3 linked regions of the Tamandua tetradactyla genome follow. The protein of the gene in region 2 interacts with the protein of the main gene of each other region in a pairwise test. Links are inferred from orthologs where the notes say so. Each region holds a gene or a part of one and is shown on either strand. Other genes may lie near its edges.

What was found.
Region 1: the proteins of HSPD1 (region 2) and SAMD3 interact in binary tests that used the Homo sapiens proteins (3 or more experiments, as listed by UniProt). The two-hybrid records come from large-scale screens. The link is inferred for Tamandua tetradactyla from reciprocal best matches to the Homo sapiens genes HSPD1 and SAMD3.
Region 3: the proteins of HSPD1 (region 2) and TMCC2 interact in a two-hybrid assay, tested with the Homo sapiens proteins (2 studies listed by BioGRID). The two-hybrid records come from large-scale screens. The link is inferred for Tamandua tetradactyla from reciprocal best matches to the Homo sapiens genes HSPD1 and TMCC2.

The regions. Positions count from the first base shown.
Region 1 is NC_135331.1:191,690,599-191,697,612, forward strand, and holds the start of SAMD3 (sterile alpha motif domain-containing protein 3), read right to left. Parts: upstream 3,021-7,014; 5' UTR 2,622-3,020; coding exon 2,543-2,621; intron 2,029-2,542; coding exon 1,845-2,028; intron 1-1,844.
Region 2 is NC_135329.1:171,757,404-171,764,815, forward strand, and holds the start of HSPD1 (60 kDa heat shock protein, mitochondrial), read right to left. Parts: upstream 3,097-7,412; 5' UTR 2,981-3,096; exon of another isoform or gene 2,960-2,980; intron 2,952-2,959; exon of another isoform or gene 2,819-2,951; intron 2,737-2,818; exon of another isoform or gene 2,605-2,736; intron 1,697-2,604; 5' UTR 1,695-1,696; coding exon 1,521-1,694; intron 345-1,520; coding exon 92-344; intron 1-91. Other genes in the region: HSPE1 (10 kDa heat shock protein, mitochondrial), read left to right, coding at 3,253-3,255, 3,909-4,073, 4,796-4,885, 4,967-5,017. UniProt on the Homo sapiens protein: Chaperonin implicated in mitochondrial protein import and macromolecular assembly. Together with Hsp10, facilitates the correct folding of imported proteins.
Region 3 is NC_135330.1:62,986,080-62,993,471, forward strand, and holds the start of TMCC2 (transmembrane and coiled-coil domains protein 2), read left to right. Parts: upstream 1-4,340; 5' UTR 4,341-4,793; coding exon 4,794-5,000; intron 5,001-5,024; exon of another isoform or gene 5,025-6,106; intron 6,107-7,392.

The sequences.
Region 1 (7,014 bases), on a different chromosome or scaffold from region 2:
AACAAAGCTTGGTATTTCACATAGGACTGTCCTGGTCTGGGAGAGGACGGGGAGTCCTGCCCGAAGGGGATGGTGCCCCTCACAGCAGGGGGAGGCCTGGGCCGTAGGAGCCCGGCTGCTTTTCACAAGCTGCAGGTAAAGAACCAGGGACGCGGCCATTCAACATGACCAAGCCACAGCAGTGGTACAACCAGGACTGAGGCCCAGATTTCCCGGCATCAGGCGCGATTTTATTTACTAGAGAACATCATAAACTGATGTGCAGCGGAAACAAGGCTGCTGGTTTGCTTCCAAGCGCTGCCTAAGGCGCTATGAAGATTCCAGCCGCTGAACGGGACTCCCGGCTCTGACGCCTACTCGTCCAGCGATGCCGGGAAATTATTCTGAGTTCTCTTTGAAGTCCTCTCCCTTCCGTGGTGGGGAAGGGGCGAAAGCGTGCAACAGGAACTTCACCAAAACTTCATGTTGAAGAGTGTGTTTTTATGTAGCTATGCCAAAGCAGAGTTTAGGAGAAGTCCTTCAAATAAATCAGATTCCAGAAAAAAGAAATTTGCTCACCCCCAATCCAATCCTTCTATCCTACCTGCCCCCTCCATGTCCCAATTATCCAAGCATCCTAGAAATGAAATTACTTAAACCCAGCTTTCCAACATCGTATTGTTCATCAAAGAGAAAGAGAAAAATAAACATCACCACAGATATAAGCTTTAAAATTTAAAATAAAAGTAGACTGGATTTCACCAAATCTCAAGTATTATTTTTAAAAGATTTGTCTACGGCAATGATCTAACCTTAGAAATCCTGCAGAATGCTTGGGATGATCCCGGGGTTTTGTAAGATGAAATTTTTAATTTTTTATTTCCTACTAGCATTCCTTTTCACTGCAGAAATCAATGATAAAAAGCAAACAAACAGAAGACACCTCCAAACCTCATAGCTTTTCTCTGCTGCCACAGACTTCTCGGTGTGATCTCTGTGGCACCTGCCCTAGTGCTTAGTATTCCAGGGATACCGGGAGCAAACTGAAGCCCATCGTGGCAAGAGCGTTTAGCAAATTACATTGTGGAGATCTCTAGAGAGTATAAATTAGTTACCACAGGGAATCCTTGGCAACCACCAGCTAACTAACCATTTAGTAAATAAATAAACAGCTTTGGGAAAATCAAAGAAGCAGCCGAAGATGCCTTTCCCAGCCCCGAGTTGTATTCCCCCCCCCCCCCCCCGGGGTCATTTCTGCCCATCTCCCATGCCTGTCCCCAGCTGGGCAGAGAAGACCCACCTGCTGCTGGCTACCCCAGGAGCTGGGGCCGGGCAGAGAAGACCCACCTGCTGCTGGCTACCCCAGGAGCTGGGGCCGGTGTGCATCGAGTGAGGGATTTTTAAAAGTCCCCCATCCTTCCAAATACACACCGTGTCTCGATTCATAAAACGTTGCTAAAGTGTCCTGAATCTGCAACCCAGCAGTAAATAGCTGTGGCTGTTCATGGGGTCTGAGGCCGGGCACCATGCTGCGGGCAGGCAGGGCACTCACCCTGGGCAGAGCACTCCCCCCGGGATAGGACACTCACCCCGGGCAGGCAGGGCACTCACCCCAGGGCCGGGCACTCACCCCCGGGCAGGCAGGGCACTCACCCTGGGCAGGACACTCACCCTGGGCAGAGCACTCCCCCCGGGATAGGGCACTCACCCTGGGCAGGACACTCACCCCTGGGCAGAGCACTGCCCCCGGACAGGACACTCACCCCCGGGCAGGCAGGGCACTCACCCCAGGGCCGGGCACTCACCCCGGGGCAGGCAGGACACTCACCCAGGGCAGGACACTCACCCCCGGACAGGGCACTCACCCCCAGGCCACCGTCCACGGCCGAGCCGGTGCTCCAGGGCGTGGCGGCCCCCGCATACCCGCGCTGTTGTGCCTGTGTTTTTTCACCAGATCCATCAGAACTGCCTGATGCCCAATCTTCTTCACCAATTGCTGAACCATCCGGTCATTAAGAGCTAGCAGAGCAGCCCCACTCACTTCTTCCTCTGGGAAAAAGAAAATATATATATCCGCGCCTCCTCCGCGGAGGTGCCCTAACCCTAACCCTAACCCTAACCCGACCCGGCTGTGATGGGAAGCCCACCGCCGCCTCAGCCGCCACCCCCACCCCCGTCTTCATAACAGGCAGTGGTTTTCCGAGGAAAGAAAGTGTGGGCCACTGTTCTTAGTAGTAGGACTTCAACACTACACAAAAAATAGTGCTGCCTCGTCAAAGAATAAAAGCAATTCAAACGCACTTACCACTTGTCTTTTAAATAACTTAGGAGTTTATCTAACTGCTTGAAAGTTCTTATATTCCTGTGGAGGCTCAAATTGAAACTCCTGCTATAAATAAAGAAATGGAAGTTTCCTCCTGTCCGGACGCCACATCCAAATGCACAAGTGCACACGCGTACATACACACACACGAGGCAGTGAAATCAACATTCAACAACAGAGGACACTCAGAATGTCTGGGAGGCCCCATAACTCGTGTCTTTCTAAGTGTAAGCAGCTCACCTTGAAACCTGTGAACCAGCTCTCCCAAGCTTTTCTCCACCAGCCAACTGCAGACTTGATCAACTGACCACGTTTCCATCGCAGCCTCCTGCCACTCCACCCGCAGAGTGGACACCAGGCCAGGGGGGGAGTCTTCAGTCTTCCCTTCTCCTCTGTCTTCTCTCACGTTTTCCCAGCGGTCAGCTCTCTTTTTCAGTTCCCTCCTTTGCCAGACTCTTGCAAACTCTCAATTTTAAGGGTCTTCAAAATGACTATTTTTATAATACACAAAGTTGCTGGCTCATAGAGCAAATACTCAGTTAAAAACGAAGGCTGATTTTAGCCTATTTCCACCTCCTATTTCTCAAATTTCCTCGCTTCTTCCCCACAGGCATCCCTCAGCTTCACTAACCGGCAGCCACAGCCCTGCAAGGCATCCAGTCCCGCACCACTCGCACCAGGTTTCTTCACAGAGAAAGAAAAGTGTGAAATTCACCACTGCAGGGCTCTCAGGAAGTGGCTGACATTCACAAAAGGGTGTGCAGGGGAGGGAGGATCCGAGAAAAGCCTGAAGGAGACAGTCAGCCAGCTGCTTAACCCTTGGCAGCTGCTGCAGGAGAAGAGCTGACATCGGCTTCTCTGGCTTCCCTTTAGCAAGAGGGGGCAACAGGCACTAAAGTTTTTAGGAGACTCTGAATGTTTCTATCCTCTCTTCCATATTCCCTTCAGTTCTAGACCTTTATTGAACACTCTTAGGATTGGCAAGATAACTGGGAAAAGCGAGCACATTGCTGGAAAACTTTTTATTTGTTCATCTGGGAAGATTCAAAGCAGAAAATCATTAGGTACTTTAATTGTTGCCTAAATGAAAGCAATGTATACAGAATTTGCAAAATATATTCTTTGTCCACTTATTTTTGCATGATACTGTTCTGCATATACTTAGAAAATTTCAAGCAATAATACAATATTTTTTTCCATTTCCTTTAGGCAGCTCATTACTTGTTTTTAGAAGGGTTTAAGAGACTGGGGGGAAACTGAAAAACATAAAACATTTAAATCTTTCAACATAACTTTTCAATTTCATCCTGCAATCTAAATGATAGACATTCACTTGTACAGCAAAACACTTTTTATAAAGACTGAGGAAAAAACTATGTTTGGAGAAGTGAGATAGGAAAGAGAAAAAATGTTTATTAGTGCACATATTTAAATGTCATTGCTAGAAGTTTTAAAAATCACTGTTATTGTATTTTTCACCTCTGTGTATTTAAATAAGTTTCCATTTCCAACGTCATGGTTACAATGATGGAAAACGAAAACATGTTTATCATTTCATACTTGACAGTATGACAAGGTAACAGCCTTCAAAAATCATTTCCTAGAAATCTTGTAACAGGTATGCTTCAAAGTAACAAGTACAGTTCAAAGGAATAACCCACACTCTCATAAGTATTCACAAACACCCAGCTGAAAAGTTAAAAACAAGGGTTAAATACAGAAGAGTTTTTTTTCTGAATTACAGCAGTGGATTTAATTTGCTACACAACAGCAACCACACAACTCCTCTCCTGGCTAAGCAGCTGTAGCAGGGTGTGAAAAGTCATTATTTGTGAGGCTCTGGTGTAAATTAAAAATCACACCTTTCTGTCACACTTCTGGCTTCCTTGTGAAGAGAAGGACATAGAAAAAAATAGAAAAGAAAGAAAAAAGAAAACACTTCTTTGAACTCCAAGATTCAAAGGTGCGCCAGGCAGAAGACACTGCCCAGCAGGCAGCAAAGGGCAAAGGGACATTTGAAAATAAGATGAGCTACTGGAAACCCTCACATATTTTTTCATTCCCCAATTTTCACCCAATTCTATATTTGGGAAAGAAAACCCCATAAAAACATAATAAGAAAATAGTATAGCATTTGCCCTTAATTATTCTCAATATTTAAGAAAATGAAATAACAGACAAGGCAGCATATTAAAGCCAGGAGCGACCTTAGAACTTCCTCTCAAGTAAATAATGGAGAGATTATTTATGATCCTCTACTCCCTAAAGAGGGAAAAGGATGCATCAAATGAGAAAAAAAAATGCATCCAGCAGCTTTATTCTGAGTTTCAGAAACTTTCAAAATGTGAGGGCAAGCATTATCCCTAAGTATTTCAAGCGAATTAACACTAGCATTGTGTAAATACTCCAGTCAAAGCCATTCTTGTGATGTGATTAAAGTAAACTTCAATCAAAGACATTGGTATCAAATATGAGAAGGTATTATCTGATGAAAGCCAGGAAAAGGTAAGACTTGGGTTAAAGCTACCTAAATATGGGCAAGTTTTATTAAAACTCTAAAGGAGGGTAATAAGGAAACTGTGAGTGTGCTGTGAATGCGGCCTCCAGTGAGATATACAGGTGCTTTTCAAGAACATATAGAGATACTGCGGTCGGGCCGGGTGTGCAGTTCAGGACGCGAGCGTGCAGGAGACACACACCAGGAGGGAGGTGAGCGCTGGGTGTCCCAGGACAGGTCCCAGGTCCTTGCCTTGTCAGGACTAGGAGGGGCGGCAGAGGGCCAGGGGCGGCAGAGGGCCAGGGGCGTGTGTGCGCGCGCGCGCATAGGGAAGTAGGTGTGCGCGCGGCCGAAAGGGGCTTTCTGTCGGGGCCTTAGGGTCACTCCCCTCCTGCTCCCTTTAACCTGCCCCAGCAGGTTCCAGACTTTCCCCAGCGGGACAGAGCTCTTTCTTTTCTTTCTCTTTTTTTACATGGGCAGGCACCGGGAATCGAACCCGGGCCACCGTGGCCCGCCCCAGAGCTCTTCCTTGCACTAAGATGTGTATGGGAAGGGAAGGGCAAGCCTCGCCTCGCCTGAGCATTCCTTCAGTCTAGAAAAGATATCTGCTTGTATTCAGCTCTTAAACACTTGTTTTTGGCTGGTGTGTTTACCGTTTTTTGTATATGTCAGCTGTCCACGTCCATTTATTTGCGTCAGTTTCGTGGCCTGTAAGACTAGACCAGATGAGCCCTAAAATCTGTGCAGCCTTGGGGTCCGGGCGCCCTGCCGTGCCTTGGGCACGCGCGGAAGCAAGGCGCGCGCTTTCCTCTGCGCGTCAGGTGAGGGAGGGACATTTACCTGGCCGACCGACAGGTGGGGCCCAGGGGGCTGCCACTTTCGTACAAGTGCGAGTCACAACCCGGAAGTGCGTCTGGCTGAACATGTTGATTAAAGCCTGGATTGGGGGAAAACGACTAAAACTTGGTAGTTTTCTTCAGCCAAACGGATGTCGTCCGTCATGCACAACATTCCCAAGAACCTGAAGGTGAGGGGAAGTGGGACGTGACAGTAAATAACATTTTATAGCTTTTATAGTTATAGTTTGCAAATTTACGATTTGTCTGGGAGGTTCAATTAAATCCATGGGAAAAGACAGCAAAAAGGCAGAGCCCGGCCAGCATGGTCATCCGGCCTGTGATCCCGCCCCGCCCCGACGCACCCCACCCACCCCATCCCATCCAGCCACACCCACCACTCCCCCGCCACGCCCCATCCAGCCCTGCCGCGCTCTGCCCCATCTGCTACGCCCACCACTCCCCCCCCACGCCACGCCAGCCACACTTCACCAGGCCCCGCCCCCTCCAGCCACGCCCCATCCAGTCCCATCCAGTCTCGTCCCACCCCGTCCAGTCCCATCTCAAACGGCTAATGAATTTTGATGATTTATACAGAAAATAAGAGTACTATGCAGCTATGAACATTTGTGTTTTAGAATAATAATATGGAGGAACTGTCATGAAATATACTTAGGTGAAAATAGGTTTTAAAATAAATATGATTCAGTTCCGTGGAAAGAGTAAAATTAAAATAGACTAAAGTGTATGTGTAGCCCAAAGACTGTTAAAACATGTACTGATAGGTGACAGAAGTTTTCTCTGTCTGGTGAAATTCATGCATTTTGTTGTAGACTTTGCTTCTCTCAAAATGTCCCAATGAAAGATTTTTATTTTTATTATCAGGAAAGTTATACTTTTAAAGACAATATGTAACTTAAGTTACACATTTGTCCCATAGATTTGCTTTAGGGTATGTCTACAGGCTATTAAACTTTAGAAAAGTCATTTTCCCTTGAAAAATTAAAAGTTCTGAGCATGGAATGAGACTCCATATAAGTATTTTTAATCATTTCCAGTGATTCTTACGAGCAGCAAAGCGTGAGAACTGGCACGTGTGTTTTTTTGTTTTGTCTTTTCTGAATGGCATCAGCCAGGTGGGTGGCCGCTCTTGAAAGAAAGCAAACCTCTCTTTGCAGGTGCCGGGTGGATGCCAGAGGGCGGAAACAGGTGGTCCCAGGTGGCTGGAACTTGTCACCTCTGAAGGGAGAAGGTTTTGAGAGGTGGCATATATATGGATATGCGCATATATGTGTAGTTGCATAATAATGTGTTTTTGAAGACAATTATTCATTAATTGACTTTTTAAAAAACTCCTAGAGGAAACAATACTGAAAACA
Region 2 (7,412 bases):
ATTAAACAATTTAAAAAACATTTTATGTGCAGGGACAGGGAATCAATGTTTTCTTATGAAAACTAAGTTCAAAACACTGTAATTTTCTTACCTCTCCTGATTTCCACTGGATTAGCACCTTTACTAATCTTCTCAAAGCCCTCCTTGGCAATAGAGCGTGCCAGGACAGTAGCAGTGGTGGTACCATCCCCAGCCTCTTCGTTTGTGTTATTTGCAACATCTTGAACAAGTTTAGCACCAATATTTTTATATTTATCCTTCAAGTCAATTGACTTTGCAACGGTCACACCATCTTTTGTTACTTTGGGACTTCCCCAACTCTGTTCAATAATCACTGTTCTTCCCTAAAATCGCAAAGAATAAAAGGTGAGAGGATCACAAACTGCAGAGGCTTAGACAATGAACAGTTTCATAATACAGGAACTACTTGAAAGCCTCAACATAAGTTGTATCATTTTTAACAGGGCTATAGCAAGAAACTCAAGGGCAAATTCCTCCATGTTCTTAGTTTACAGACAAAATGACCTCTCTGTTGCTCAGTCAAGTGCATAACTTTGGATGAGGTACTATGGGAGATAATTCTAGGGACCAGATGTCATCTTTCAAAACAAATAAGTACAGGATAACCAACACCAAGTTAGTAGATAACAATGATAGTATTCTTCAAAACATTTATACCTTAGTTTTAGTTAGTGACTGCTATCTTTTAAAATGATGACATTTCAAAATCTAATTACTAACATACCGAGTCAGCCAGGAGCAATGTGTTCTTCCAAGTTTCTTCAATATTAAACCTCAAGCATGATGCAACAAGATTGGCAGCTTTTGGATTTAAGCCAGTAAAAACTGCTCCTTTTACATGGGGAATGCAAGTGTCGTATTTTATGCAGTTGTTTGGATCACTTTAATATTTGAATTATCTTCAATATGAAATGAAGGCTACCTGCAATCACTTATTATCTGCACTCACCAATAACTTCAGCGTGAACAAGATTTAGAATTTTAAATGCCCTTTGGAACAGCAGGAAAAAACTGGGTACAACTAGTCCCTGTAAGTGTATACTTGAGGTATTATGGTAGAAAAGTTACACTCTTCTTTCTATAATTAGCATTCTTCCTGGGAAAATCCAAAATTTAACTCAAGCTAGCAAGCAAGATTAGTTCTCTGGGGCGGTGCAACGATGGCTCAGCGGGAATTCTCGCCTGCCAAGCGGGAGAACGGAGACCCAAGTTCGATTCGCGGTGCCTGCCCAAGCACAAAAAAAAAAAAACGAACGAAAAGAAAAATACTGAGCTGAGCTAACACTTCATTACATTGTACATTTGCACAAAATATAGTTTTGAAAATTGGGTTGAAGAGCTTAAGACATTTTAGCTAAGAAAAAAAGTCATCAAAAAACTGGAACTTTTATATGTGAGATTTTTTTCAACGAATACCAAAGTATTCAGTACTTCATGACTTCCCATCAGTAGAACATTATTCCTTAATTAATGTTATAACTATAATAAAACACTGGTACCTTTGGCCCCATAGTAACGGCTACAGCATCGGCTAAAAGGTCTACACCTTGAAGCATTAAGGCTCGGGCATCTGCACCAAATTTTACATCTTTGGCATAAGCCCGAGTGAGATGAGGAGCCAATGCCCTGGACACTGGCCTTATCTGGCGAAGGACTGCGGGTAATCGAAGCATTTCTAGGAGAGAAAACAAGCAGATGATCAGTACTAACACTACATCACTACATGAGTGTGTTGCAGCAAACAACACGCTACCTGTGCAATAAAACATGAAACATTAAGTGTGAGCTGGGAAGACACCCGCCAGCCATGCTGCCTGAGCCACGGTTAGAGCACACTACCTACTAGCTTAAAGGGTGAAGCCGCCCCAACGTCCGACCGATACCACCAGCGCACAACACATTCATCTCATTCCGAACAGCTACCCACACATGCCTAAAAACTAACTCGCTTTTCACCGTTAAAACTGCCCCGAAGGCAAATGCACCCCAAATAAGCCCCTGGAAAACAAAGTCTGCAGGAGAAGGGCAGGTTACAAATCCAAGTGACCATGGAAGCGAAAAATATTCCTGGCAGGGCAAAGGACCTCTCAAGCGTAAGTATCTCCATGTATCCACCCGAGGCTACAGTATCTGAGAACCAAAAAGGCCGCGATGCTGGGGGCAGACAGTCCATCCCACCCCGCGCGGCCCCACGTCTCTCATCAGGACGCCCCCAGCAAGGTCAAGGGTGTAGACGCTGTACCCATGCTGACCGCGAGGCAAAAAGCGATTTCCACGCGGCTACGACCACCCTCTCCCGCGCGTTGCAGTTAACCCAAAGCGAGTTGCACCGAGGGCCCACGAAACTAAAACTCCCTAAATTCCACCCGCCAACTAGGCCCTCCCTGGAGTCCCGCACTCCATGCCCCACGTGATGGGATCCCGCATGGGCCCTCGTGGCCTGGCCTAGCAGGCCTGGGCCTGCAGCGCCATCGGGAAGCCCTTGCTCTTTCCCAACACCTGACTCAGGCCGGGCCGCAGCCGTAAAAGCCTGGCTAAGAAACCAGAGTCGGCAAGATGAGGCGGCACGGGCCGGCAGGATACCTGCGGGGCAAAGGCCGGGCGGGCAGACGGAGAGGCAGGCCGTCAGCGGCGAGTGAGGGACAGAACGCAGAACGCACACGGCAATGAGCCCGTGTCCCCTCCCTCCGCGCCCCTCCCGCTCCGCAGCACCGCATGTGCAGCCGGCTCCCGCCCCCTAGCCCGGCGGAGGCCCTGCAATCAGCACGCGCTATACGTGGGCCCCGCCCATCCCTACCCGCTAAAGCCAGATCAGGGGGCTCAGCCCTCTCGAGCCGGCTTAGGCTTGTTCCCAGGCCAAACAGCGTTCCAGAACTTTCCGGAAAGCGCCGCGCTCTCCGCGCGGGTCAAGGGTTAAATTGCGTCATTTCCGGGAGGGGCGAAGGGATAATTCTTTTACCTCGGCAGGCAGCCTAGAAAAGCCTAGAAATAGCTCCTCTTTTCTTCTGCCCTCCTGTCCGCGCGTCAGCGACCTGCGCAGCATTCTCGGACGAATCACGGCCCGCGTTGTGCGCCCGCCCTCTCTCGCAGGACGGGGCGTCGGAGGCCGAGCGCGCTTGCGCGTTGGACATCTTTTCTCCACGTTCTCGTATTCCTAGGGTCGGGCCGTGGTTCCTCTCCTTGCGGCGGTGGTGGCGCGGGAGCAGAGTACGAGTTAAGGCAACCGGAGCCATGGTGGGTCCCGCGTAGGCTGGAGTTCTGTGGTCCCGGTCGGTTCGAAGAGCTCGGTAGCCAGTACCGTGGCTTGGGCTCTGGCCAGAGGGGTAGGGGTCATTCGGTGTCCTTCCCTCGCTTGCACCCTGGACTGTCACGGTGCCCAAGACTAGGGTCGAGAGCGAAGGATCCGCCGACCTTTTCTTCCTCCGTGGGCTCTTCGCATGAGTGTCCTGGTGCGACACGCGTGCGGTACAGGGGGCGGGAACGGGGACGCACGTGCGGCGGCTGACTTTTCCTGCGGGGCCTTTGCGGGTGTGTAAACCCTTGGAAAAAGAGCGTGGTCTTAGAAGGAGGGTTTACTCCATGGCCTGAGCATTTCTAGAAAAATATAAATAAGGAAAATATCTGACCTTGGAGTAACAAGGTTGCTTTTTAATGCCAATCTGGCCAAAGGAGCAACAGCGACCTTTAATTATATAGAGAATGGGGAATTAACGTAGAATGTAGGCCCGAACACTCAAATGTGTTCTCGAATTAAGAATGTGAATTATGGTGTTAATCTTTTAAAACTGTGGTTCCTGTTTGAGATGCAATGGTTACTGTGGTTTTGTTTGTTCAGAATATAATTACGTATAGTTTCTGCCGCAAGTTTAAATTTTTTTTCCCTGCAGGCGGGACAGGCATTTAGAAAGTTTCTTCCCCTCTTGGACCGAGTATTGGTTGAAAGGTGTGCGGCCGAAACTGTAAGCAAAGGAGGCATTATGCTTCCAGAAAAATCTCAAGGAAAAGTATTGCAAGGAACAGTAGTAGCTGTTGGATCGGGATCTAAAGGAAAGGTAAATGAGGGTTGAAAGTGCATTAATTTTTGCTGACTAACATTGGAATTGCCGTACTATTTTAACGCCTTGGGGCCACAGTTGGCTTACCTTATGAAAGGAACGGGTTGGATTATCCTTTCAGATATTTTTCAGTTTTCTGGCTCAACTTCAGACCTGTCAGCCACAATACACACAGTAAATGTCTTTTGGGTCAAATAAGTTAAATGCGATGTTCTGGTTAACTCTTAGAAGTTACTTGCAAAGAACTGTCTGGAGTTAGGAGTAGGGAGGTTCTGGGTACTCTCTGCTTTAGTCCCTTTTACTGAATATATAATATTCGAAGAGAGGAAGTAGAATAACAAAAAAGGATTGTATATTCTAAATATAGAAAAGTTCTTTTAAACTTTTGTATGTTGTAATTGATCGTTTTGCTGCATATGGTTATAAAAACTGTTTCATTTGGCAGCCCATAGGCTACTAACATAGTACAGTATTTGGCAATTATAAAGTTATCTTTAATTGCTAAAGCTAGCTCTCCCAATTTAATTTAGTTTAAGCTACTGTAAGGTTTATTTCAAATTATAACTCTACACTTAATATTTATGACTTAAGCCACTTCATTATATCACTTGGCCATTAAATGCATTTTTAGCATTTGATTTGAGTGAACATGTGATTAATTTAAAGCGTAAATGTTTGCTGAACTCCATGTCTTTGCTCATAAATGTCCTTCTGTTTAGGGTGGAGAGATTCAACCAGTTAGTGTGAAGGTTGGAGATAAAGTTCTTCTCCCAGAATATGGAGGCACCAAAGTAGTTCTAGGTGACAAGGTGTGTAACATAAAGTAACTTTTAAAAGAGGTTAAATATTTGCTGTTAACTGTCTTAACTTAATGATTTTTCTGTTTGCAGGATTATTTCTTATTTAGAGATGCTGATATTCTTGGGAAGTATGTAGAGTGAAATAGCTCAGTATTGAAATGGCATCATGTGACGCTCCCCATTCCACCGAAGTTCTGAAATCTTCCATCATGTAAATAATTTTCATCTCTCTCTTTTATAATAAACTAATGGTAATCCAATGTCTCTTAAATTTAATTTCACTGTACTGATAGAAACATTTCCAAATAAAAATATATAAATGAATGCCTAGTGTGTATTTATTTATTTAGTGAGTTCTCTAAAGTAACCCACAGATAATTTTGGGAAATGAGGTTTGTATGTTGATGTATATTCACATTGATTTTAGCTTTATTACATAAATGATCTATGCTGGTACAAAGTCAAGGGTTTACACTTACCTGCAGTTTAAGAATTGAAAAATCAAGTAGCCATATTTTGCCTTTCAAACAATCAGTTTATAGTGGTCAAGTAGAGTTCTTCATTCATGGTAGAAAAATGTAGTTCCTGACATAAGCATTTCCGGTTTTCAAGACTATTTCATAATGAGGGGAAAATCCAAGGCAAAATATTGCTAATCTTTCAACCGACCTGTTTTAGTCTCCTAGCTGCTGAAACAATTACCATACAATGTGCTGTCTACATGTCTAGATGGTTTGCTTCCTCCCTGGGTGGGTATCTTCTAGCAGGCTGGCAACCTTGGGGTTCCTTTTCTGTCATGTGGTAATGCATACAGTGGCACCTTTCTCCTCTGGGTTCCCTTGACTTAAGTTTCTGGCTGTATCCTGGGTTTCTTTCTTTGTCATTTCCTTTGCTTATGAGGATTTCAGATGTACTGGATAAAGATTCATGCTGATTCAAAGTTCCTACTTATAAAAAAAAGTGGGTTCACACCCATAAGACTAGGGATTAGGACCTGATCATGCCTTTGGGGGTAGGGTGTGTGTGTCACAATTTAGTCATCCTCAGAGCTAGGTATTATTTACTTTTTGCAGTTGAAGAAGAGTGGTGTTGAGTAATATGGGAAGTGACAGGATTTGAAGATAGGTTGCCCACCTCCAGATGCTGCTGTATAAAAATCAATACTTCAGAATGTCTGCCATATTGTCAGACTGTCCTTTGCACTTGATGCACTTTAGTTGATTCAGGTGATCACTAGTGGTGTGGGTGATGGGTGGTACCTAATAGTGCCTGGCAATTAGTAGATATTTAGTATCAGATTTAATATGGAAACCCTGACATGGTTGAAGTTTGGTCTAGGTGTAGCAGCTATGGGAAAGAGAATTTGAACCCAGATAATTTTCCACCAGAGTGGATTTCCAGCCCCTCAACTTGACCACATCAGCAGCTATTTCTGTCTTAATCAAACCTGTTTTCTTGTTTTAGTTCTTTATGAACTATTTTGTCATAACACATTTTGAACGTTCTTTCCTATCTATGTTGAGAAGAATTGAAGGTGTGGATGAAGTTAACATTAACTAGTGGTCTCAACTTTTGACCAGGTATCCTATCACTAAAAAAATATGTAACTTAATGTGTGTACATTATATATTATGTGCCTATGTGCCGTCCAGTGTATTAAGGCTTAGTTTTTTTTGCATTTAGAAACAAGTATGACAAAGCTCTTTTTTCTTACAGCAGCAATTTCCTGCTGTACTCCAGGCACAGCCAAATAATGTTTTGTACATAATCTTGGGAGCACAGATTGTTGACTAGTGAGAAAACTTGAGAATGAAGAAATTTGTTCAAGGCCATGTGGCTCCTAAATTGCAATGGGAATCTAGTCTAAAGGCCGTGATTTTTCTTTGCGCACCTCAATGCTGCAGATTACAAATGAGATTTGTGATCTAAGATAATAGTTCCCAAACTTTGATTCATCATTGAAATTAGGTGGTGTACTGAGAAGAAAAAAAAAAAAAAGACTTTAGGGCCCCATCAGATCCAAGACATACTAAAGCAAAACAAAAATGAAAGAATTTTTGAATTTTTGTAGGACACAAATAGTTCTACTTCTGTGATACCTGTCTAGCAGAGTTGCTGAAGAAGTAATTTTAAATTGTAAGATTATATTGAGAAAATAAGGAAAAGAGTTTTAGCAATAGTACTTGAGAAAATTAGGCCAAAAAATAAGGGTATTCTACGTGTGAACTTCAAGATTCAGTAAAGTATGTGTGGTTTACCTTTCGTTCCTATTGAAACAAAATTTTGAAGAAGAAAGATGAATAAAAATAAGATTCCAAATGGATGATATGATTAGGTTCATGTGTCACCTTGGCCAGGTGATGGTCCCCAGCTGTCTGGTCAAACATGCACTCACCTAATTATTAGTGCAAGGACATTTTGTGCTAGTTTATTAAATCATCAGCATGTTGATTGCATTCATGTCTGATTACATCTGCAGTTGACCAAGGAGAGTGTCTTCTAGAATCAGTGCCATTTAATCTAATTAGCTGAAGGC
Region 3 (7,392 bases), on a different chromosome or scaffold from region 2:
AAAAGCAAAAAAATTGAAACAACCAAGCATCTAAGAATAAGGTGAATAGTGGTGAAATAAACCATGATATATTCGCTTGATATAATATTAAGAAGTCATCAAAAATGTTTACTTATACATATTAAAATATGTCTGACATAATAACATATGGAAAAAGTAATAATATATGGAAAATGCATTTATTTTAAATAAGACAATAAAATATACAATTCTATATTTAGATTACAGTTCTATTTTTTAAAACTCCACCTATTTAAAGAACAGAACGACCTCTCAAGAATGTAAACATTGTTTATATTTGGACAGAGCTTATTTTCATTTTTTAACTTTTCTGAGTTTTTCAAATATTCTTTGAAGAATATGTATTACTTTTATGAGGTTTCTGGATACTTAACAGTGAAAAGGATGGATGATAACAAAAACAGCAATAACCTTTATAAGCAGCACAATTTAGGTTTATGGTTGCTCAGGGAAGAAAAAAAACAATTTATGCCAAACATGAAAGCAGCTGAAAAATCCTCCAGATGGTTTAGAAGAACTCCCACATTCCCTACCTGATATCGCCACCTGCATTCTCTCCTGATAAAATAGCAAATACATTTTTAGATTGGAAAATAAAATCCTAGGTTCTAGAATAATAAATGAAGTCATTTTAGGGGCCAGAAAGTTCCATGCTAGATACTGATGTGGAATCACTGAAGATGATCGGCCACCACCCAGACAACTGATAAATCTTTAGCAGCGCAGACCTTTCTCCACCTCAGGAGTGATGCAGAGTCTTCCTAGCCGCCCCCTCCCTGCTTCTTATAAAAGCCAATAATAAGCTCGAATTTAGGTGGTGGGATTGTGATGTCAGCAACAATCCAGCCAATCTCCTTGGTGATCATTTACATAGTTTACTCCTTCTGATTCAAGGGAACCCAGTTTCTTTTAGGGAGAGCTTTGAATGGATGTGGGAATCTCCAGCAGAAAGAGAATAAAGTGACATTAACAAAGGAATATTTATAATGATGTTAGTATTAAAATACAGTGGTCAAAATTATTATATCTAGTTCCTCTAGAGAATACTTGTAACTTCCAAGCACTGTACACAGTATGTTAAATCTTAAAATAGCTCTCTATCTACTCATTTGATATTTAAAACACGTCTTTGTTTTTTTTTTAAAAATTCCTACAGAGGACAAAAAAAATCTTGAGATAATCTACAAGCCTCTTGCTATTGGCAAAAAGAGAGTCTGCTTCTGAGACTTGACTGCTTTTACAAAACGGAAAAAAAAAATCTACCTTATACAGTTGCTCTTGGCACCTTATCCTCTATAATAACACTTCATCAGTTTATCAAATTTTATGAACGGGCTTTTGACAGGGAGCTGGATTCTTTAACCCTGCTCTTTATCTTCTTGTTTATTGATGTACTGGTTTGGGGGAGGGGAGCTTTCATTAGCCTAACTTGGATCTCCGTTCACAAAAAGCAGTAAGCTTTGTGGCATAATTCTGCTTTTCTTGCGTGGCGACAGGAGGCCTGGGCAAGTTTGTTAATGATTTCTTTCATTCAGGTTTACTGACCGTGTATTATGTGAGCACATTCTATCAAGTAACTCTATGGTGGGCCATGTGTTAAGCGTTTTCACATGCATTATCTAGTTTAATCCTCCCGAAAACTCCATGGGGTTAGGTATTATTAGCACCTATTTCTAGATAAGAAAGCCAAAGTTGACAGAAGTTCAATCATTTGGTTGTCCAAGAACACACCAGAAGAAACAGTACCAGAATTCTTACATGAATTTTTCTGACACCAAGACCAGTATTCTTCCCACTACACCATGCTATTTATCTGTGATTAACTAGTTCTGCCAAAAACAAAATGGAGAATGCTATTTATTTCTACATGCTGAACATCATCTCTTGCATTGCAAATCTGCAAATTGTAGGTCACACAGGTCTCTACACAGACTTCCCACTCAAACATCTTTGACAGCAACATATTTGTTCAATAAGTGATACTCAGTGAAAGTCGGAAATGTGTGGGACGCATCTGAATTCTCACGGATAGAACTATTAGAGTGGAACGTGGAGCCCTTTTGAAGCTAGATGACAACTGCGATAATAACTATAGGCCTCAGTCTATGCCAGGCAATGTTCTAAGTGCTTTATCTATATATCACCCAACACCCTCTGAGCTAGGTACTGTCATTTCCCTCAGGAAACTAGGATCTAAAAAGATTAGATAACTTGCCCCCAGACACATGATCTGGGATAGAAGAACCAGGATTTGTCCCCAAACATTGTTACTACAGAATCTGAACTTTGAAACATTATGTTACACTGCCTATCCAAAATGGAAGTCAAGTATTAGCTGATTTCAGGGAACACACCAGACTTTTTTGTGGAGGTGCATCACACCTTGCTAAATATGACCACAAATTGGAAATTTGGCCATCATGCCATGTGTATATGAAAATATTAAAATCAAACTTAAAGTCAAATTCAGTGTAGCAGAGAAATGAGGAATGATTCAAAATGATAATGGTCTCTGCATCTTTAAAAATTCAAGCCTAATTCCATCCATTTTCTTCAATTTAGAGTCAGGTCTTGAACATGTGCTAACACGTGCTCACCACGTGCTGGCCACTGCCTGCTATTCAAGACCTGCCTGGGGTGGAAGCGGGGTGGGGGTGGGGTGAGGGTTGGGGGGGTTGGGGGGGGCTAGTCCTAAATCCCGCCACTGTCAACACTGGCATTTTGCCTTTTCCTCACCACAGAAAATGTAGAAAGCACAGAGCTTTGTGTTTCTACATTGTGCTTGGTACTGGGGTGGGGGGTTGGGGGGGGTTCTACAATCCCAGCCCATCCTAAATTTCTATTTTCTAAAAATGTAGCTGCCTGGTTTAGAAGGTAGCTGCCTTTCTGAAGTAAATTCTTAACCATTTAGTCCCTCATAAGATACACATTAATATGAGTGTTTGGAGCCGGAAGAAGACAGAATTGAAAGCCAGGAAACTCAAGACTAGCAGAACTGAAGTGAGACTGGAATGGCATGAAAGAGATCGGTAAACTGTAAAATTCTTTAGACATCATCACTGTGACTCAGAGATCCAGTGGTCCCTTCAGTCTGAGTGGTCCCTTCACCACAGTTTAGGCCAACGGTCCCCAAATTTTAGCGTGCATCAGCATGACATCTGGAGGGCTTAAGAGCTTTCTGAGCCCACTATTTCTGATTCAGTAAATCTGGGTGGTCCCTGATAGTTTTCATTTCCATCAAACCTGAGGTGCTGCCAGTCAGTCGGGGGACGACCCTTAGACCCACTGGTCTAGGCTGCTGGGTGGGCAAAACCCATCTTGCCACAATAGGCGTGCAGCAGGCACTTGGGTGGGGCTATTATTACTAGGTTCCCTGTCGTGATAAGCCCAGCACTTGCTTTCTTCTGCCTACTGGTTGCTCAGCACAGTTTGACAGAGGCTTACAGAAAAAGAGACATTCCTTTCCCACTCTTCCAAATGTTTAGACCTCCTGCCATGAATAACCCTTTCTTATTTAAATGATGCTTTACGGTTTGCAAGGAACGCTTACATACATTATTGTGTTTAAGAAGCATTTTCCAATATCTGAGCATAAAGATAAGCAATGAATCATTTGGGATAAGTACTAAAGTGGGGGGAGGGGAGAAGGGGCAGAAGAACACCTTCCTCCCGTTGCATTTGCAGCTCAAAATGTACTCAGGTCAAGTGCACGCGAGGGGCTCAGTTTCTTTCTTATTGAAGGGATGTATATAATCTAACGTGCAAAGTTAGAGCAAAAAAAGGGCAGTGATGATACACATCCCTGTTGTGCCTCCTCTACGCCATGTAAAATGAGTGGGTGGGGGGAATCCCATGAGTGCCCTCTCGGAGAGGGTCCCTCAAGCAGCTGCTAAAATCGCGCGGCCATCGCCCACCGCCCCCGCCCCTACTCCGCAGCCCGCTCTCCGCAATGCTAAAACGCAGCAGCATCGCCCTCCAGATCTCTCCAGGGGAAATCTCACAGTGCAACCAATCCTACAAACGTCGGCGAGAGACGCGCCCGCAGCCCTTCGGGCTTCCCATTGGCTCGTTGCCGTTGTCACTCCCTCCTTGTCTCTCCTTCCCCCCTCCCCCCCCTCCGCCCCGGCGGAGGCAGACGGAGGGGCGGGGTAGGTTGCGCGCTCGCCGCCCGGCTCTGGCGCGGGCCGCGGCTTCGCGGCGGGCTGCTGGGCGGGAGGGGGAGGGGGAGGGGGAGGGGGCCGGGCGCGTTGCGGGCTCCGCGGCCGGCCGGGGCGGGGCGGGGTGGGGGCGCGCGGCGAGGCCGGGACTGCAGCTGGCTCAGAGAGCGGCGGACGAGGACCTGCCTGGCTGACTGTCCCATGCTCTGCCTCGCCCAGCAGCTTGGCCCGCCGGGAGGGATGCGCTGTGCAGCACAGCACCCACCCGCCCTGTCCATGCCTGAAGCAGAAAGTTTGGGGGTCGGGGGCAGTCTTGCCCCTCCCCCGCCAATGACTGCCCAAGGACTCCTGCTGCCCAGCCTCGATTGTGACCTGTCTGCTACTCCTCAGGTCGTAGTGAACTATTCCAAGCTGTAACCAAGGCTCCCTTTCCTCGCCCCTTCCACATCCTCTTTTTTAATATATATTTTTTTAATTTAAAAAATTACACTCCCACCCACGCCCTTGCTAATAATTTAAACCCCCGGCCTCATTTCTGAGAGTAAGAGGGGGTGCGGTCTTCCCCCAAGCCGGCGCGCTGGAAGGACAGATTCCCCTTGCCGACCCACATACACCATGAAGAGGTGCAAATCCGACGAGCTTCAGCAACAACAGTGCGAGGAGGATGGAGCTGGGCTGGAAGATGCTGCTTGCCACCTGCCGGGCGCAGACCTCCGTCCTGGGGAGGGCACGGGTGCTAACTCCGCTGGCGGACCAACTTCAGATGTGGGTGCTGCCGCGGCGCCCAACCCGGGTCCCCGAAGCAAGCCTCCTGATTTAAAGGTGAGCTCAGACCCTCCCCTGGAAAGCTCAGCCAGCGACTTAGCTTTCCCCAACCCTCGTGGAAGTGCTCTGACAGGATAAAAGTGATGGGAAAAGGAGACTAAGGTCAGAGAGGATGAGCGGATGTTGGGTTAGAACCCTGGGTGGATGCAGGTACCATTGGAACCTCTGTCTTTCAGCTGCATTTCAGGCCTCTATGTTTGTTCCCCATTATTCAGCAGACGTTTCTAGTGACTCACCCATCTGAGAAGATTGTTTGAATAATGTGTGTGAAGTGCTGTTCCAGACAAAGGGCTGGAGAAATCCAGGATGCTAACTAAAAAGTTGACATCACTTTCCCTCCTGTAGGATAGCAATGGGAGAAAATTGCAGTGTGGGAGGCAAAGCAGGTGATGGTCAGTTTCGGTTGCTGAATTAGTTTCCTCCCTCTGGGATCTTTGAAGGCCTTCCTGGAGCTCAGTTTGTCCATCTGTGAAAGGGGGCAGTGGATTTCTTACCATTAGGTGGAGCCAGAGGTTAAGCCAGTGCTTAGAGATCCCTGCCTGCCTGTCGTAGCTCCAACCCTCAGGGTGGAGAACTGACAGGTGGCGCGAGTGGAGCTTCGGTAGGTTTGGGGCCTCAGTTCAAGTTGCACACATGCTGAGCTGGCAGCTAGAACCAGAACCCAAAGGAGCTTTCATATGCAGCTGGGAGTCGTTTATTTTCTGGCCTGAGGTTGCTGAGACAATTGCTGAGCTGTGAATATTATATGTATATAATTTTAATTGATATATATATCAATTAAAACAGCAGCCAGAATAAATAATGCACCTTTGCTGGTGCTGCCACAGGGACTGCAGGCTCAGGCTTCTCAAGCTGGCTCACGAAGGGGCTGAGAGAGATGTCAGCCCAAGAAAGGAACTTAGATGGCTTGGAAACTGATGCCTCAGAGAGATTTTTCTCTGGAGGGGGTGCAGGGTCTGGGCTAGGGGAGTGGAAAGGACTAGGTTACATTAAATAAAGCCTGTATCCTATGGCAGCAGCCACTAAGGAGTTCCCCAGAATAAGCCAATGACATTCCTCATTTGGCCTGAGCAACTCAGAGTCAAGAAGCCACTGGGGCGCAGGTGAGTGTGCTCTTACCTATATATGTTACTTGTCTGTATTCCTTGGCGAGCGGCACGAAGGGAGACAGCTGACTTTTTGTTGTGTGTACTTTTAAAAAATTGTGCTAGTTTTTCAAATGTGGTCTTTGGTTCTGCTGCTGCCTTTTCAGAGGTTTGGAACTAACCTTAGTTCTAAAAGATGAGTTCCTTTGGATAGTCTCTGCATAGGAAGCTTGTATTTTAACCAGGCCCAGGGAACCCTGGTATCTTTCCCAGATATCACCCCTGAGCCTACTCTGTCATCAAGAGGTGCCGTTCCTGTTTTAAGTGAGATGGTGAAGGGAACAGGGTCCATTGATGCTCTTGTATAGAGGGGTTGAGCCTCCTGCTGCAGACTTCACCCTCATTCTGGCTTGTTCTGAATGAGTCTGGCCAGCAAAGTCTGATTCCTTGACCAGATAGGGGTCTATGAGAGGCAACCTTGGAAACTTCCCTAGTCTCCGTCTCATAGTTGCAGGCCAAAGTGGAAACTGCTGGTTCCATTCATTCTCCCACCCTTCATTCATCCCACCACCCCACGTTGCTTTCATTGGGAAAGCTGGACGGTATCTTTGTCTCTGTGGACAAAACTGCCTTAAGCAGCTTGTTCATCTCCACCGACCTTTATTATTTTTTCTCTTTTTATGGGGATTTCCTCATTCTGGGCAGGGGCAGATGTAGCAGCAACTCTGCAGTTGCTACTACCCTGCTGAATTTCCCTGAAACAAAATTGATATCAGGTGTGAGAAAAGGAGTCCCCTAGAGATAAAATACTACTAAGGTCAATTGCTGCTGTTTAGACCCAGACTGACAGCAAGGAGGAGAAAACAGCTCAGTGGGAGCCTGGGGAACAAGCAGGGCCGTTTCCTGTTTATCTGTGTCAGCTTCATCACAACATGTTTACAGGCAGGACGTCAGAACGGGTGTGAACTCCAGGACCACTGCAATCTGAATTGTTGTGTGGTCTCAGGAAAATCACTCAACTTTTCTGAGCCTCTTTCTGGAGAAAGGGACTAGAAATATTGGAGTGTGTTCCGGCTTGTTTCCCAGGCACGGTTTTCCAACGATGGAAAAATTCCATCATTGGCTCAGGAACTCGGTAAAAGCTTGAGCAATTGTAGATTTGACGGTGGTACCAGAAAGAGGCAAGTTTAATTTTTAACACCTCCCACTCCATATTCATGTTTGGTCAAGGCAGAGCAGCGGTTCTGGCTTGATTTTGTTTTCATTCTAAACTTTGGAGATAAGTAACTTTTGGGTCCTAGCCT